Linked DNA regions of Astyanax mexicanus. The protein of the gene in region 1 binds, or shares a complex with, the protein of each later gene. Links are inferred from orthologs where the notes say so. Each region holds a gene or a part of one and is shown in the gene's direction. Other genes may lie near its edges.

Region 1 (7,644 bases):
CTTAAACAAATACATTTTTCAAGTTCTAATATGAAGGGTTGAAAATAAGTTTGTTTAACACATCTTTATCTTTACATTCTAAAGTCTAACTTTATAAGAAACCTGGAATTTGATTTTCACATACTGGGAAAGCTTCATTTGCCTCAATTTCTAATGGTATATAGAACCATCTACAGTATATTTCCCACCAATGTGAAGGACCTGTTAATTACCTAAATTGTTCTGCAGCGTGTGATGTTTGTATATAGAACCACTGCCTTTACTAAAGAACCATTGAAGAACCCTTGTTTTAAAGAGTGTAGTTCTCCACGGATGTTTTATTGTGTTTCAGGGTTTTATTCCAACAGGTAAAGACATTTTAATTTTTTTTTCATTGTTCTGGAAAGGTTTAAAGGCTATTTAACAGCATCATTAGTGCCACATTGCCACCTTCTGGAGGTCTTCAGGAAGAGCTTCTTAAACACTACATAGCATAGAAGTATTTCAGTTGTTTGTTTGTTTTTAAATATTACTTAAATAAAATGTTGTGATTCATGAGATAATATGCTTTATGTTCACCAGCAGTAACATAAACAATACATTGCTCAATTATTTTACATAACTACATCAGAGAAATGCACTGGAACAGTCCATCCCCTGCATATGTGCCAATTGTTTATTTTTGTTTTCCATTCGGAACTTGTGCCAATAACGTTTGGTCGCTGTATTGAAACCCATAAAGGTTTATTTATACTACTCGTCGTGTTCTTCTTTACTTGTATTCTGTGCAGTTTTATGGTTCGGTTTGGTTTTGTCATGTATGTTGTCATTATATTTAGTTTAGCCCAAATACAAAAAATGATCAGCCAAAACTTTTGATGCCATAATGTTGCTGCCTTTTGCATTGTAATGTCAGGCCAGTGTAGCTAACAAGTAATATAAGCTTATAATCAGTTATCAGTGTACTGCATGAAAGGTTAAATTAACCACTACCATTGTTTTTAGCTAATGTACTTTTTAATAAATGCAGCATTGTGTAGCATTCAACCTTAAAATAACAGCTTCAAAATCATTCTGGTGAATCATTTATCTAGCATTGCTCCTGATGCTGATACCTGCACTATGTAACTTTGGTGAAGTGGCCAGAACACTATATAACTTGAGTCATAATTGTGTCAAATCCTGCAATATCCTGGTTCTGTATCTCTCAGTTCGGCAAGAAAAACCTGTTCTTTAGCTCTTGTGCAAAGAAGGAATTCCTGAAAGTAGGAGCACAAAGGCAAGAAATGCCAATTTTTCTATTGTCTTGCTTTAAAACACAGGACTGTTGTGCTATTATGTTTGGGTCCAGGATGACATGATTGTGTCACAATTTCTAATGAACACTTTCATAATGCTTATTTTCAATTCAAGCACAAAATGTACCTTTGGTTTCTGCAGCCAAGGAGTTCTATTCTGCTCACTAAAACATATCAAGCTTCATTAGGTAGTTCCTGAAAAAAAATCTTTGGGAAATTTGGGAAGAGGTTTCTCCTGGTAACTCATGAAGTCATATGCATGAAGGCTATATTTGAACTAGGAATTGCTGAACAGTAGAACAGAGCACTATCACTCCAGGGACTAGATATTTTGATGATCTTTAGCAGGAAAAGAGCCTTTCAGATTTGCTTGCCTTTTCTTAAATTCCACAAGCAGTTCTCTTAGAAATGTTATGTTTTTCAGTCCTCAACATTAGCTGCACTATTTCTGATAACTGTCATATCTTATTTACATTATGATTACAAAAAAACACTGTCACATCTTATTTACATTATGATTGCAAAAAACTGATTGTTAAGACAAGATTTTGAGATGTCAGGGTATTTAGAAAGTTGTGAAATGTTATGACTGGAACCAAGCTATAGTTTTTAACAAGTTATTAAAAGACCTTGGTAAAAAATTGATCTGAAAGCGTAACTCTGTTGGGGTGCCTAAACCCCCTTTTAAAATGTAAAAACAAATTTAAAAATGCACTTAACTTGCCTAGAATGTTGATAGAATGAGCCATTTTAACTTTTTTAAATAACTTTGTCCTAATTGAACTATTTATAGTAACATGCATTTTGGCCAGGGTCAAGGTTACCTTTGGAGACAGTAGAGATCCTGACTGGCTATTCTTAACACTATGGATTAGGGGCTTGTGTTGGGCTGGTCCAGGCACTAAGCCGATCAAGTGCTTGGCATATGGCTGTTCGTTTCTAGGGGCACAACTTTTTCAAAAACAGGATTAAAAAAGAGAAATGTGCCAAAGTTGCACTAGATGGTAAAGGCATTGTGTTTTTAAAACAAAATTGTTTTTAAGTGTTTCGCTATCTCTTTATTTTTAGCTAATAAGACCACCTACAGTGTGATATAAACTTGGGTAAACACTATTAAAATCTTTAAGACTAGAAATATGATAGACCGCAATATGATGTTTAGTGTTTTCAATCCTGGTGCTGGGGCACCCTGCCTAGCACATTTTAGGGAATTCCTTGCCTTTACAAACCCACAGTCACTCTGAAAAGACGTAACTCAAAATTAACTCATTAACAGAATCGGGTGTGCGGGGAGAAGAGAAACACTGTTCTGTTGCTTAAAAAAGATAATAGTGCACTTGAATAATTGTTGCCAAACAAGGCTGTATCCTGTGTCTGTGTTGTTTCCTAGACAGTGACTTGCAGATATGTAGGCTTACCAGTATCTGCATGCATATCTGAGATGTGCTTTAAAAGCACAAAGAAGTCATGTTATGTTGTATTAGCATTAGCCATTTCTATTTCTCTACCAATACAATTGTATTAAAAAGGTAAACTGTAAATATGTATATATATATATATATAGCTACATTACCTATTTCTTTTGAGAAATATTTTTATGAAAAAATGTCTTTTTGCAATAAATTGATATGATGTGCTCTCCATATTAAAACATTTTAAAAATGTGTCTTACTGAGTGCCCATCTATTGGGGCTCTTCTGCTCTTTCCATTAGAAAAAGATACTTTTATAATGTGCCTCCTATTCCACAACTACTAGATAGTGTACTGTATATACAGTAATTCAGTTTAAAATGTAAAACTCATATATTATATAGATGTTTTACACACAAAGTGATCTATTTTAAGCTTTTATTGTTGATGATTATGTCTTATAGCCAATGAAAACCCAAAAATCAGTGACTCAACTGGTACTCTATAAAAGTTGTCAGCAGAGGGAAGAATGAAGTGCTGTAAGATTTTGTACGAAAACGCTGCACTGACTTTAGACTTGATAATAAAACACAGTGGATCAACACCAGCAGATCACATGACTCCCCAAACCATCACTAATTGTGGAAACTTACACTAGTCCTCAAGCAGCTTGGACTGTGTCTCTCCACTCTTCCTCCAGACTCTGCTCCCTTGCTTTACAAATAAAATGTAAAATTTACTGATGATCAGTGACGGTTTGGAGAGTCATATTATCTGTAATATGTAAGTTTCACATTTTTTACTGAATTACTAAAATACAGTAACTTTTCAATGATATTCAAATTTTTTTAAGATTCACCTTTTAAGATGCTACCAAACTTTGCTGGAAATTGACCCTCCAGGCCTGGAGTTGTGCATTTCTGGGATTGACAGAATGTGTTGTTTCAGGCAGTCAAAAAATTGTCAATTTATGACCATAAAAAAGTCTCTGGGATAGTGTAATGTTGGTCAGCACGGGCGTTTGTAAGCTGGTGTATCAGAGCTGAGTCGCTGCACTTTCCTCTGAGTGTTCTGACTACCTATTGATTCTGCATCAGTGGCGGTTAGTAAAGAGGTAGTGTGTGACTTCACATGTTTCAGAAGACGCAGATGCTAGTTTTCACTCGACTGGTGTTTGGGAGCATTTACAGAGATAGGGAGTCCTAATGTGAGGGTCAAGAAGTCTGGGAAAACATGAGAGAGCTTGGTGTGAAGTTGGAGTTATATGAGAAATCTATGATGTATGTCATTTTTAAGGACAATGTGTCAAAAAAGTTACAAGAATTATATTGGTGAATTGTATGTGTGACAAATAGTAAGATTTGTGAGACAAGGTATTTGATTGTAATAAAACAAACACAAATACCTGCACAGGCTGTTTTTAAACAAATAAAGTGTCAATTAAAAAAGGAGGGGTAAAGATAAATATCCTTGGGACGCTTTAGAAATATGATGAGTATTTTAATTAATCATTTTTTAATGTGCTCTTTTTTCTCTCTCCCCGTGTAAAAGATCTCTGTAAACCATGCTATTGATTTATTTTTTTTTATTCTCAGTGTTGAAATGTGTTAAGTCTAATTTTACAGCGATACAACGTTCCTGTCAGTCCCTTTGGCAGTTATAGACATATCAAAATCTCATTTTGGTTTAACAAAGCCCTTCTCTGGATATAATCAGTTTTCTCACCTTGTTCACTACTTGTGTGTACTCCTCCAGCAGGGGGCGCAACCCCGCCCGCCCGGTCAGTCCGCTCTGGTGTTTTCAGCTTTCGTCACATCCGGCAGATCCAATGGCGAGATGTGAGCAGCGAGGAGGAAGCAGCTGATCCGGTACGAGTTTAATACCTCAGTTTATACAGTTTATCTCCTTACAGCAGTGCTCACACCTCTGTGTAACTGTGTAACTACTGCCTGAACACAGAGAGAGAGAAAAAGAGAGCTGTGCCAGCCTGTCCGCTGTGTGAGGACACGCTCAGACACAGTGAGAGATACAGAGTGCAGAACCGGTTATGTACTGAGTCTGACTCCTTTAAAACACTGAACAACGGGACGAGGAGGATTCTTTTTAGTGGTTTTCAGTATTTAAATGTGTTAATTAGCCCCTGAACACAGGGAAAAGGCTGAACTCTTGAGTCAGTAGACAGTCAGACTGTCAGTAATGTCTCCACCCTCTTCCTGTAGCTGTTGTTCCTCCTCCAGCTCTTTTCTTTTCATCACTGCTCCTCTTGACTGTCATTCTGTACCGTTATGATTAAAGCGGATTTGTATTTACAGGTTCAGCACTACTATTATTATGTTTTTTTTTATCCGAAATAGAACTACACACATAAAAACCGAAGGTTTGCTGTTGAGTATTGTAATGACTGATGGTGATACATGTCTGAACTCAGAGTGAAGCACTGGAACTAAAAGGACAGATCTCTGAAATTTTACTAGTAGAAACTCTCATTTCGGATATTAACTCTAAAATGTTTACTAGTAACAATATCCTATATACAGAACTATAAATACATTCTGACCAGACTTACTACCAGGATGATATATCCTTTATGTAATTTGGAGTAATACAAGTATGCATTTCAGACATTTTTATCATTATTTCTTATTATTTATGTTCTGACTAGTCTTAATATTATCTTAATATTTGTAAAACTAGATTTTTTACTAAATAACATGCCACAATTGATTATTTTTTTCAGTTACTGATCTGTGGATTGATACAGAAGTGTCTATATTGCTGTTTTTTTTTAAGTTGCCCTCCCCAAAATGAAGGATAAAAATGTTTTTTCTATGATTTTTCTATGCTCTGTCTTTTTGATTCAGAAGGAAATGATTAGAATAAAAATGTGTAGGATATAAACTACTTTTGTTGTCACACTTGATTCATTTTAAATTTCACTGTACAATCTGGCTATTTAATGTTAATACAAAGGCTGTATACAAATTTACTAGTCCATGCTAAATTCATGAATTCCTCTTTTTACATAAATGAGACGGCTTTTAAAAATATCAGAATTGGTAGATCAATGAAAGCTGTCTCATTACATCAAAATGAAAAGTGTGTTCAAACATTTCGACTCAATTAGAGAATTCTGAGTAGACATTTTGAGTTTTAACCTATTCTTTCTATTTATCAAGCTGCTAAAGTACTGTATGACTGTATAAGTCACCTTAAAAAGGAAAGTGTAAACTCACCAAATCAGAGAAAAAAAATCTGATTACTCAAATCACTTGAGGTGTTTCAAGATGCATTGAAGTGTAATATTCTCTCCAAGACAAATAAAACTCCTCCCAATATAACCAAAACACAAGTAATAATTGCTGCGTAAACTTTTTAGTTGGATGTAATCTAGCCATAGTCATTTGAGGTCACCAGGTGAAAACAGGGTCTATGTTTTCTAGTAAATTCACATGGTGTATTATAGCTTCATAATCCATATGTCATTTTGCAGGCGATGGGCGCAGACAGTGGTCCGGGTGCTCCCCCAGCAGTCCCGTGGCGTAAAGTGCTGTATGAGCGTCAGCCCTACCCTGACAACTATGTGGACCGCCGCTTCTTGGAGGAACTGCAGCGCAACATCGGTGTCCACCAGTACCGCTACTGGGCTGTGGTGCAGGAAGCAGGCCTGGTCGCTCAGCAGGTCTCCTGTGTAGCCGTTTTTCTCACATTATGGTTCTACATGGATCAAGGAGACCTGGGACCCTCCACCCTGCTCTGGGCCAGTCTTGGGTGTGCACTTCTGGGTTATGGGCTCTATGAGGCTTTGGGAGGAGGCAGTGGAGAGCGTACACGCATGGCAGACCTGCAGAGCGCAGCCATCTTCTTGGCCTTTACCTATGGCTTTTCTCCTGTGCTGAAGACGTTGACTGAATCCGTGAGCACAGACACTGTTTATGCCATGTCATCCATGATGCTGCTGGCCCACCTGGTGTCCTTCCCGTACACACAGCCCAGCCCCCCAGGCAGTCTGTCCCTGAACGCAGCGCTGTTTGGCTCTGTGTGTTTGGCCTCACGGCTGCCTGGGGCCCTGCACACCTTCGCCATGCTGAGCTGTGCCCTCCTGGTGTTTGCTCTGTGGCCCTGCCTGCTCCATCGCCTCAGGGACCGGGCTGAGTGGAGCTTTCCCCTGGCTGCAGGCCTGGTGTGCACAGCTGGGGTCGGAGGTTTGGCAAGCCTTTGGCCAGGAGGAGCTCTTCTCCTTCTTTTAGCTCTGCTAGTGCTAACTTTAGCCTGTCCGATGCTGCTCGTGCATCTTCAGAGACACAAAGACAACATCCACGGCCCGTGGGATGAAGCAGAGATCAGAGAGGACCTCTCACGATTTTTAAGCTAACACAAACACATGTAATAGTACTATGGACCTCTTTTATACTGAAAAATTGTTAACTGTACACTGGTGAGTGTTGAGGGCTATGACAGCTGCTTATATCAGATGTTCAGCACTTTAACATAAAGGCTCAGGGAAAACTTGTGCCTACACTGACCACTCCTTTTTTAAGACTCCATCTGCTAAATGTCTAAAACTGTAAACAACGTGCACATAATCATGAACAGTATTTTTAAAATATTTAACTCTTACTAAAATACCTGGTAAAATGATTACATTTTGTTATAGTTATTTATTTGATGTGTAATAAGTCATGAAAAAAAATATGATGGTAAACAAAATTTTTGTGCTTTTATGAATTAAAACACTTTGTCATACTAATGTAAAGTTTCTGAAATGTTTTTTTTGCTCCAAACAATCGTACATCTCAAACAGTGGCATGCAAAAGTGTTGGTACATTTGTCAATTGCATTTGTTTGTTGATTTTTGAAGGTTAAATAAGTAAACAGCACCTCTGCAATAACATATTTTCAAAAATGTCCATTTTCCCACTGTAGGGCGAACCATATTATAAGGCTCAAAAAACATTT
Region 2 (7,520 bases), about 16 Mb from region 1:
ACAGTACTTAAATGATTTCAAATCGAGATATTTAAAAGGTCCAGAACACTGACCTGAGCCTAGCAACTTGGTATGGACGGTCTCGTGAAAAATGATAACAGCAGGGCCCAAAGTGGAAAGCGGCACATCCAGACCACAGCGGGCAGTGGTGGCTTTCAGCTCCTTTGTAAAATGCTTTAAATAAGCATCTGAAGCATCGCCCAGAAACTTAAACAGATCATCGTGAAGACGGTCGGCGTGTGTGCGGTAAATGACCAGGTCTGACACGGCCAGCACCTTCAACAGGAGACGGGTCCGCTGGCCCTGGTTTGATCCTGCTCCCAGGAGTCCCTCTGTGTCGACGACCACCACCTTATGAAGTGGGTCAAGTGCTGCCCACACTCCAACAGTGCACGACTCCTGCGTGGGGGATGTCTTGAACACTTCACGGCCTTTGAAGAACGTGTGGTTTAGGGTGTGTGATTTGCCTTCCCCAGTATTACCAAAAATGGACACCACCTTCAGCAGTTCATCCGGTACACAGCCCAGTCTCTTCACAAAGTTATCTCCACTCTTTACCTGATCACAGTAGAAGTGCAACATAGTTTACGGTCATCGCTTTTAATATGGTAAGGTGTTGAGTTTTAAAATATACTGAGAAACTAAAATTACTTCATGATATTCCTAAAAAGTAAAATCCATGTAAAAATATTCAAAAACTGTCTGCTTTATAGTTTTGTGGAGTGGATTTATTTCTAATAAACAAAAATAAATTCAGTGTTGACACTTCTTTTTTTTTTACCTCTATATTGCATATTTTCGGCACTGTTTACCAATCGTGGTTCTGAAGTAGCCCTGCACTACACTAAAGCTAAAACCAAGCAAAACTAATGAAGCTAAAACTAATGGAAATCAATGTCATCTATAGTTTTTGATCAATGCCTGCTACCACTGGTTTACCATGGTTCTTCACTGGCATGATTTAAAATATTCATTGGTATCACCTTTAGATCATCCATGATTGACTATGATTGTTCTCTTTTTTTTATTCCTTTAATTCCAAAATACTCAACGAGCAAGACAATTTACAGTAAAAAGGGCCACCCTGAAGTCAATCCTGAGAACCTATGCTTTGATTTCAGTGCACACCAACATAACATGCCTATCTCAATTTTTTTTTCTTTTTTTACTATGGGTTGGCCCCACATATACATGTCAGTGAAGGACCTTATCAGGGTCAGTGATGAGAACAGCAGGAGTAAAACACAAGCCCCATCTGGGTTGCACTGTGAACATAGATGAAAGTAAGGTGTGCTGTAATGATGAGGCACAACTGAGAAATCCAACTGGGTCAAGACAACACAAGACAAGACAACCATAGTGTTCATACTTGTGCTGGAAGCACAGGTGGAATTTGGCCTTCGCCTTTAACCCATTTGTGCAGTGAACACACACACGCATACACACACACCAGTGAATACAAACACCAAGTAACCAGTAATACAGTGAGCTCAATTAGCCAACAGTGGCAGCTTGCCAATCCAGGGTATCAAACCCACAACCTGGTTTTCAATAGCCCACTCAGAGGTCATGCCCACCTCAAACCCACCTAGCCCATATTTCATCAATGAGGGCGCCACATGAGCCTGTTGGCTTGGTGAAATGTACCAAAAAGTACAGCCCTGAAAAAAAAATAAGAGACCACTTCGAAATGATCAGTTTCTCTGATTTTACTATTTATAGGTATATATTTGAGTAAAATGAACAATGTAGTTTTATTTTATTCTATAAATCACTGACAACATTTCTCCCAAGTTACAAATGCAAATATTGCCATTTAGAGCACTTGAAAAAATGAGAAATGGTCAAAAATAATTAAAAAGGTAAAGTGCTTTAAATCCTTAAATAATGCAAAGAAAACAAGTAGATATTCATAAAGTTTTAAGAGTTCAGAAATCAATATTTAGTGGAATTACCCTGATTTTTGATTACAGCTTAATGCATCTTGGTATGCTCTCCACAAGTCTTTCACACTGCTTTTGGCTGACCTTACTCCACTCCTGGTACAAATTCAGGCAGTTCACCTTTGGCTTGTGACCAACTTACATCTTACATGATTACAATTAGAGTTTTTTTTAATGAAAGTTGTGACTAAAACTGTGGGTTATTCTACCCATTGTTGGTTCTAAACTCACCCTAAAATAAAGCTTGCTGTTTGATTGCTGTTGTTCCTAAATGCATATGAACTTGTTTTTCTTTTGTTTGCATTATTTGAGGTCAGAAAGCTCTGCATTTCTTTTTGTTATTTCAGCCATTTCTCATTTTCTGCAAATAAATGCTCTAAATGACAATATTTTTATTCTGAATTTGGGAGAAATGTTGTCCGTAGTTTATAGAATAAAACAACAATGTTTATTTTATTTAAACATATATCTATAAACAGCAAAACCAGAGAAACTGATTCAGAAACTGAAGTGGTCTCTTATTTTTTTTTTCCACAGCTGTATGTGAATCCATCTCATTCCCATACCTGCATATCCTCCTTCTCATCCACCAGCAGGAAGCTGCAGACCTTGTCCAGCTGGGCGTTCACGCGCTGCAGGTCCTCGTCAGCATCAGAGTTCATGTTGGCCTCGGGGGGTTTGCAGGGCGGGTAGGCAGAGAGGGGGTGCTTTCTTTTACTCACGCCGCTGTGAGTGCGCTTCTGGCAGTCCAGGCACAGGTTGATCTTGCAGCCCTGACACCTGACCACGGCCCTGAGGCGAGAGCCGTTGGCAGGACAGCTGCCGTCGCCTTTGCAGGAGTCGCAGAAGGGTACGTGGCCCTGGGAGATCCGGACGCGGTCGTGGTTCCTCATGCGCTCCTGCCGGTGCAGCTCCAGCTCGCAGCGGGCGCACTGCAGGCTGCCGCACTCGTCGCACTCGAAGGCGGCCTCATCCGAGCCGCCGCAGGCGTAGCTCTCCTGGCAGACCAGGGCGCCGTTCACTCCCTGCCCGCTCATCCTGGAGCCACAACTCACTGAATTACAAGCAACTTTAACTTAGCTAACGTTAGCTAACTTGCTCAGACCTCGAAACGCACCTGATGATAATAACCGTTCATTAGAACCATTGAAATTATTGCTTGATCACGAACTCAACCTAACTAGTTATCTGCTTTAAAACCAGTCTGCATAAGAGAAACAATAATAAATAAATACAAAAACACCACACACCCACCACTTAAGGCTATGACACTGACTCCAAACCTTACACGCACTAACCCAACTAAATTAGTTAACTACTAAACTATTGCACCAGTTTAAAAGTTTAAAGCTGCTCTTAAATCCACTTTTAATCACAACCTGAAATAACACCATGTATCCACCACAGATATTTACAGCTAGTTAACTTAACTAGATAAGCTAGCTAAAGTTAGTTACTGAACTTATGACACCGCTGGAACAACGCCCAGATCATTCCATTTGCAAGCTACCTTGGTTAACTTTAGCTAGTTAACTTAACTAAGCTAGTTAACAAATTAACTTGTAGTAAATTAAGTAAGACTCTATCTTTAGAATATTATTAGATAAATCTAACCTAAATTAGGACCATAGATGGATTTTGTTTAAAAATATTTAACTTTTGTAACTAATGACACTCTAGAAATTGATAAATTATCTATCTAGCTAGTTAACCTATCTTTTTTTTTTTTTAGCTAATTGGGTTAACTAAACAAGCTATCACACATACTGGCCTTTAGTATCTTAGGGAACGTTACTGTATATTTAGCTGGCTATTAGCTCCCTAGCTAGCATACTGCCCCGCCACAGTCCCATCTGCTCAAGCGACCATTAGCAGCTAGCTAACTAGCTCAGCTAACTTAATGATAGTCCGTGGTTTAAATAAACAACATCACCAACCTCTCAAAGCCGCTCTCAGCTCTCATATCTAGCTACACCCTGCAATATCACCCTGATAAACGCCACAGGCTACGAGGACGGACGCGGACGGACGTGTTGAGCTTTTGTTCAACAAGCTAGCAGCATTAGCATTTCGTTAACAGGAGGAAAAAGGATACTGCCCTCTAGCTAACACTCAATGACAACAAATAATAGACTTTCTTTAATAAATACACAAATATTAGACAGGCCTGACTGGCTCCGTGCGCCCAGCTGCGTTTAAAACGGTCTGTGAAGCGCGTTTATCCCAAAACAACAACAACAACAGCAGCAGCAGCAGGAGCTCTGGGGTCTGCGGTCAGCAGCCTTCCTGACTTAGCAAAACAGCACAACAAATCTGTATTTCGAGCGAGACAGCGGCGCAGTTTTCACCAGACCGGCCGCAGGAACACACACAGCAGCGCCCGGGCTGTCTCTGGACAGATTTACAGTCTGGACAGGAAGGTCGAGCCGCTTGTTTTGAGAGCAGCTGGTTAGCTGAATAATTCCGCTGGCCGGTTGATTTCGGAGAGTGTTGTTGCCAAGTCACATCAGCTGATCGACTTTGTTTTCAGCCTGAAGGTCGGAGGGGAACGGCTGCTGCAAGGTGAGTAGGGAAATGTAGTGAAAAACCGAGGGAAAAGGCGGCTAACGAAGCTAGTTTGCTAACCCATCTATTTAACCGCTGTTTCTTATCGTCCCTGTTAACGTCTTCTGTTTTTTTTTATGCAGTAACACTGCACTCTTTCAGCAATGCCATGTGTATTAACTATATTAGTGATGCTAAGTGTTTTAATGTATTACATTTTACCGGATGAATAGGATAATCTATGGAAGGTATAGAGACTTATTACATAACTTATTTTTGAAATAACTCGTCATAAATTTTAATTATATTTCTTTTATCATTCTAATTTTACAATAACAACTAGTTAACTTAGTGTCCCCAGCTAGCATAGCCCTGTCAACTCATTTTAATGAGGTGTGGCAATAGGAACAGTGTCTGATGAGTGTTTAATAAGGCAGCTTACATCTGCTCAGTTTATGTATAAGCTAATGGTGTTTTTTTTTGTTATTTTCTTACTAATAGAGTTACTTGAGTTTATGTATTTATTTTATGAGTGTATTCAATCAGGTAATTTGTTACAGTTAAACAGTTAAACCTATACTACTACTACTACTACTACTACTACTACTACTACTACTAATAATAATAATAATAATAATAATAATAATAATAATAAAAAAGAATAAGAAAAATAATAATTATATTAATAAGAAAAATTGTCGACCAAACTTAAGACTGTAAATACATTTTTAATTCCGCAGTGGCATAAAAAAAGAAATCTTGCTTTAACATGTCAGTTTAAACGTGGTAAAACTCAATTTCCCATGATGCACCGTGTTTTTTAAGGTCGCCAGGTTCTGTTCTATCGATGTGAACTGATACTCGCCGAGGCTTCATAGACATTAGTAAATATCTGGTTATATTTGGACTGTCTTTATGTACTGTATTACAGGCTTTAATCAGTATTGAACACACTTCTGTGTTGGTGAGGCGTCTTTCTGACGGGTGTTTCAGCGCTGGTTTGTGACAGCTGAGCTTGTGCTGCTGTCTGCTCCCGTCATGGCTGAAGAAGGACCGTTTACAGACATCAGCGGTAAACCCATCTCGCTGGAGTGTCAGAACTACACTCCTTTCTGCAGAGAGTTCACTGTCAGCTCCCCGAAGGTCTCTCTACTCAAGGTGATGGGGTACACCTGCTCCGTCTGGCTGCTCGCCTACGCCGTGTTCTTCCTCACGGAGGTACGTAAGTTAGCGTAACTTGCTAGGTTAGCTTCGCTAGTTAGCTAACATGACCTAAATACACTGTTGTTTTTTTGCAGTGTTGTACACTGTAAAAATGAAAAGAACAGAACCGTTTAAGTTTTGAAAAAGAAAAAAGAAAGAAAAAGAAAAGAAAAGAAATACTTTTTTTTCATATGCATAAAACTTTAAATATTAATTCTCACCAACTTTGAAGTTTACTTTGTGTTGTTAGTTTGACTCATTTAGGTTCTATGATGTGTTTTGTAAGTTCCGCTGTCTATCCATTAAGGTCACGTTTTACATAAATCAAACTCGCATAATGAGCACTATATTGTTTGTTAATATAAGTTAGCAACTGAGAATTTATGACTATTTTATATCTGTCTTATTGTCAGTCATATAAGTATTGCGGTAATGCAAACAGAACCAGCTGGTACCAGACAGCCTTCAACACTGAGGCCAGGCAGCTACTATTATATAACACATAAGTGAAGACCAAAAGAAGACAGTCTGTGGAGAATGACTGCACACTGATGGTGAGTGAGAGATGGGAGGACACACCCAATATGCAAATAGCATGACCAACATCAGGTGAAAAGCCCCTGCAGAACTGCTCAGTAGACCCTGTTTAACTGAAGAGTAAAACTGAGCAATGTGCAGTAGTGCAGAGTAGTTGGCTTGGCCTCAACTAGGGTTCAACTGCAATTTGTAAAATTTGCCACACAAATGATTTAGTCAGACCAACTTTTAACAAAAAACGTAATAATGTTAGTTGAGGCAACTAGTTTGCTATAGTTTATGGTGCAATTCAATATTTCTTGTTCAGCTGACTTAAAAATCACAGCAAGAAGAACAATTTTGAGTTTGGTTTTTACAGTGTACAGAGAGTACGTACCCTAATGTGACGTAAAAAAATAATAATATAAAAGAGATAATGCGTGGCCACGACTTATTAAAGCATGGGAACGCATTTCCACGCTTTAATAGGTCGGTCACGCATTATTTCCTTTTCTTTTATTATTTTTATTTTTTGCATGATTTCACATTAGGGGCACTGTAGTGTTTTCATGAATAGTTAGTTAGCGTTACCAAGCCTTACATTAGCTACTACTGTGTCAATCAGTAAAGTACTAATAAAATATATGTATGAGTGTATGTATAAAATAGAAAAAGATTAATAGTTAGCACATTTATTGCATGTATATACAAACAAACTGTAAATACACTAGGTGGCAAAATAAATACTAAATAGACTGCTAAATATCACTTTCATCACATATTTTATAATGTAAAAAATGTTTGTGATATTACTGCTAACGATATGATTTGGCGCTCACCTGTAACACCCTCTTCTTTAGTCACATTCTCACATAGGGGTCCGTCCTAAAATGGCAAGAATCCAGCACAGTTCAGTGATTTTGTTGTTGATTAGGGTCAACTCAGTCAATCAGTTATATTGCTGCCAAGCTTATTCCTCATCCCCTGTGCTTGAGTTTCAGTGGGTTAACTGGGTTTCAGGTGAGCACAAGCACAGTCGGTTTAAGATAGGGATGCACTAAAATGCACTAATCTTCTAAACTGTGGATCAAATTAATGTACCTTGAAATAAAAGCTGAAATGTTGAACTTTTGTATCATATTCATCTTTTAAGGTCAAACCCAAATGTTTTCAGTCTTCAACAGAAATAAAGGGATTGGCATCGCTGTTCCAATACTGTTAGAGGGGACTGCTAACAAAGCACAATTTGACTTAAAATTGATTATTTATTAAATGTATTAAGACTAAATTAATTATTTAGTCTTTTGCTTAATA

What was found.
Region 2: pigc (region 1) and pigh share a complex: the UniProt entries of both Homo sapiens proteins name them as parts of the glycosylphosphatidylinositol-N-acetylglucosaminyltransferase (GPI-GnT) complex. The link is inferred for Astyanax mexicanus from reciprocal best matches to the Homo sapiens genes PIGC and PIGH.

What each region holds. Positions count from the first base shown.
Region 1 is NC_064408.1:62,448,670-62,456,313, forward strand, and holds pigc (phosphatidylinositol N-acetylglucosaminyltransferase subunit C), read left to right. Parts: upstream 1-4,446; 5' UTR 4,447-4,556; intron 4,557-6,178; 5' UTR 6,179-6,181; coding exon 6,182-7,060; 3' UTR 7,061-7,435; downstream 7,436-7,644. UniProt on the Homo sapiens protein: Part of the glycosylphosphatidylinositol-N-acetylglucosaminyltransferase (GPI-GnT) complex that catalyzes the transfer of N-acetylglucosamine from UDP-N-acetylglucosamine to phosphatidylinositol and participates in the first step of GPI biosynthesis.
Region 2 is NC_064408.1:78,401,392-78,408,911, reverse strand, and holds the start of pigh (phosphatidylinositol N-acetylglucosaminyltransferase subunit H), read left to right. Parts: upstream 1-4,393; 5' UTR 4,394-4,505; intron 4,506-5,290; exon of another isoform or gene 5,291-5,418; 5' UTR 5,419-5,525; coding exon 5,526-5,705; intron 5,706-7,520. Other genes in the region: zfyve1 (zinc finger FYVE domain-containing protein 1), read right to left, coding at 54-558, 2,510-2,980. UniProt on the Homo sapiens protein: Part of the glycosylphosphatidylinositol-N-acetylglucosaminyltransferase (GPI-GnT) complex that catalyzes the transfer of N-acetylglucosamine from UDP-N-acetylglucosamine to phosphatidylinositol and participates in the first step of GPI biosynthesis.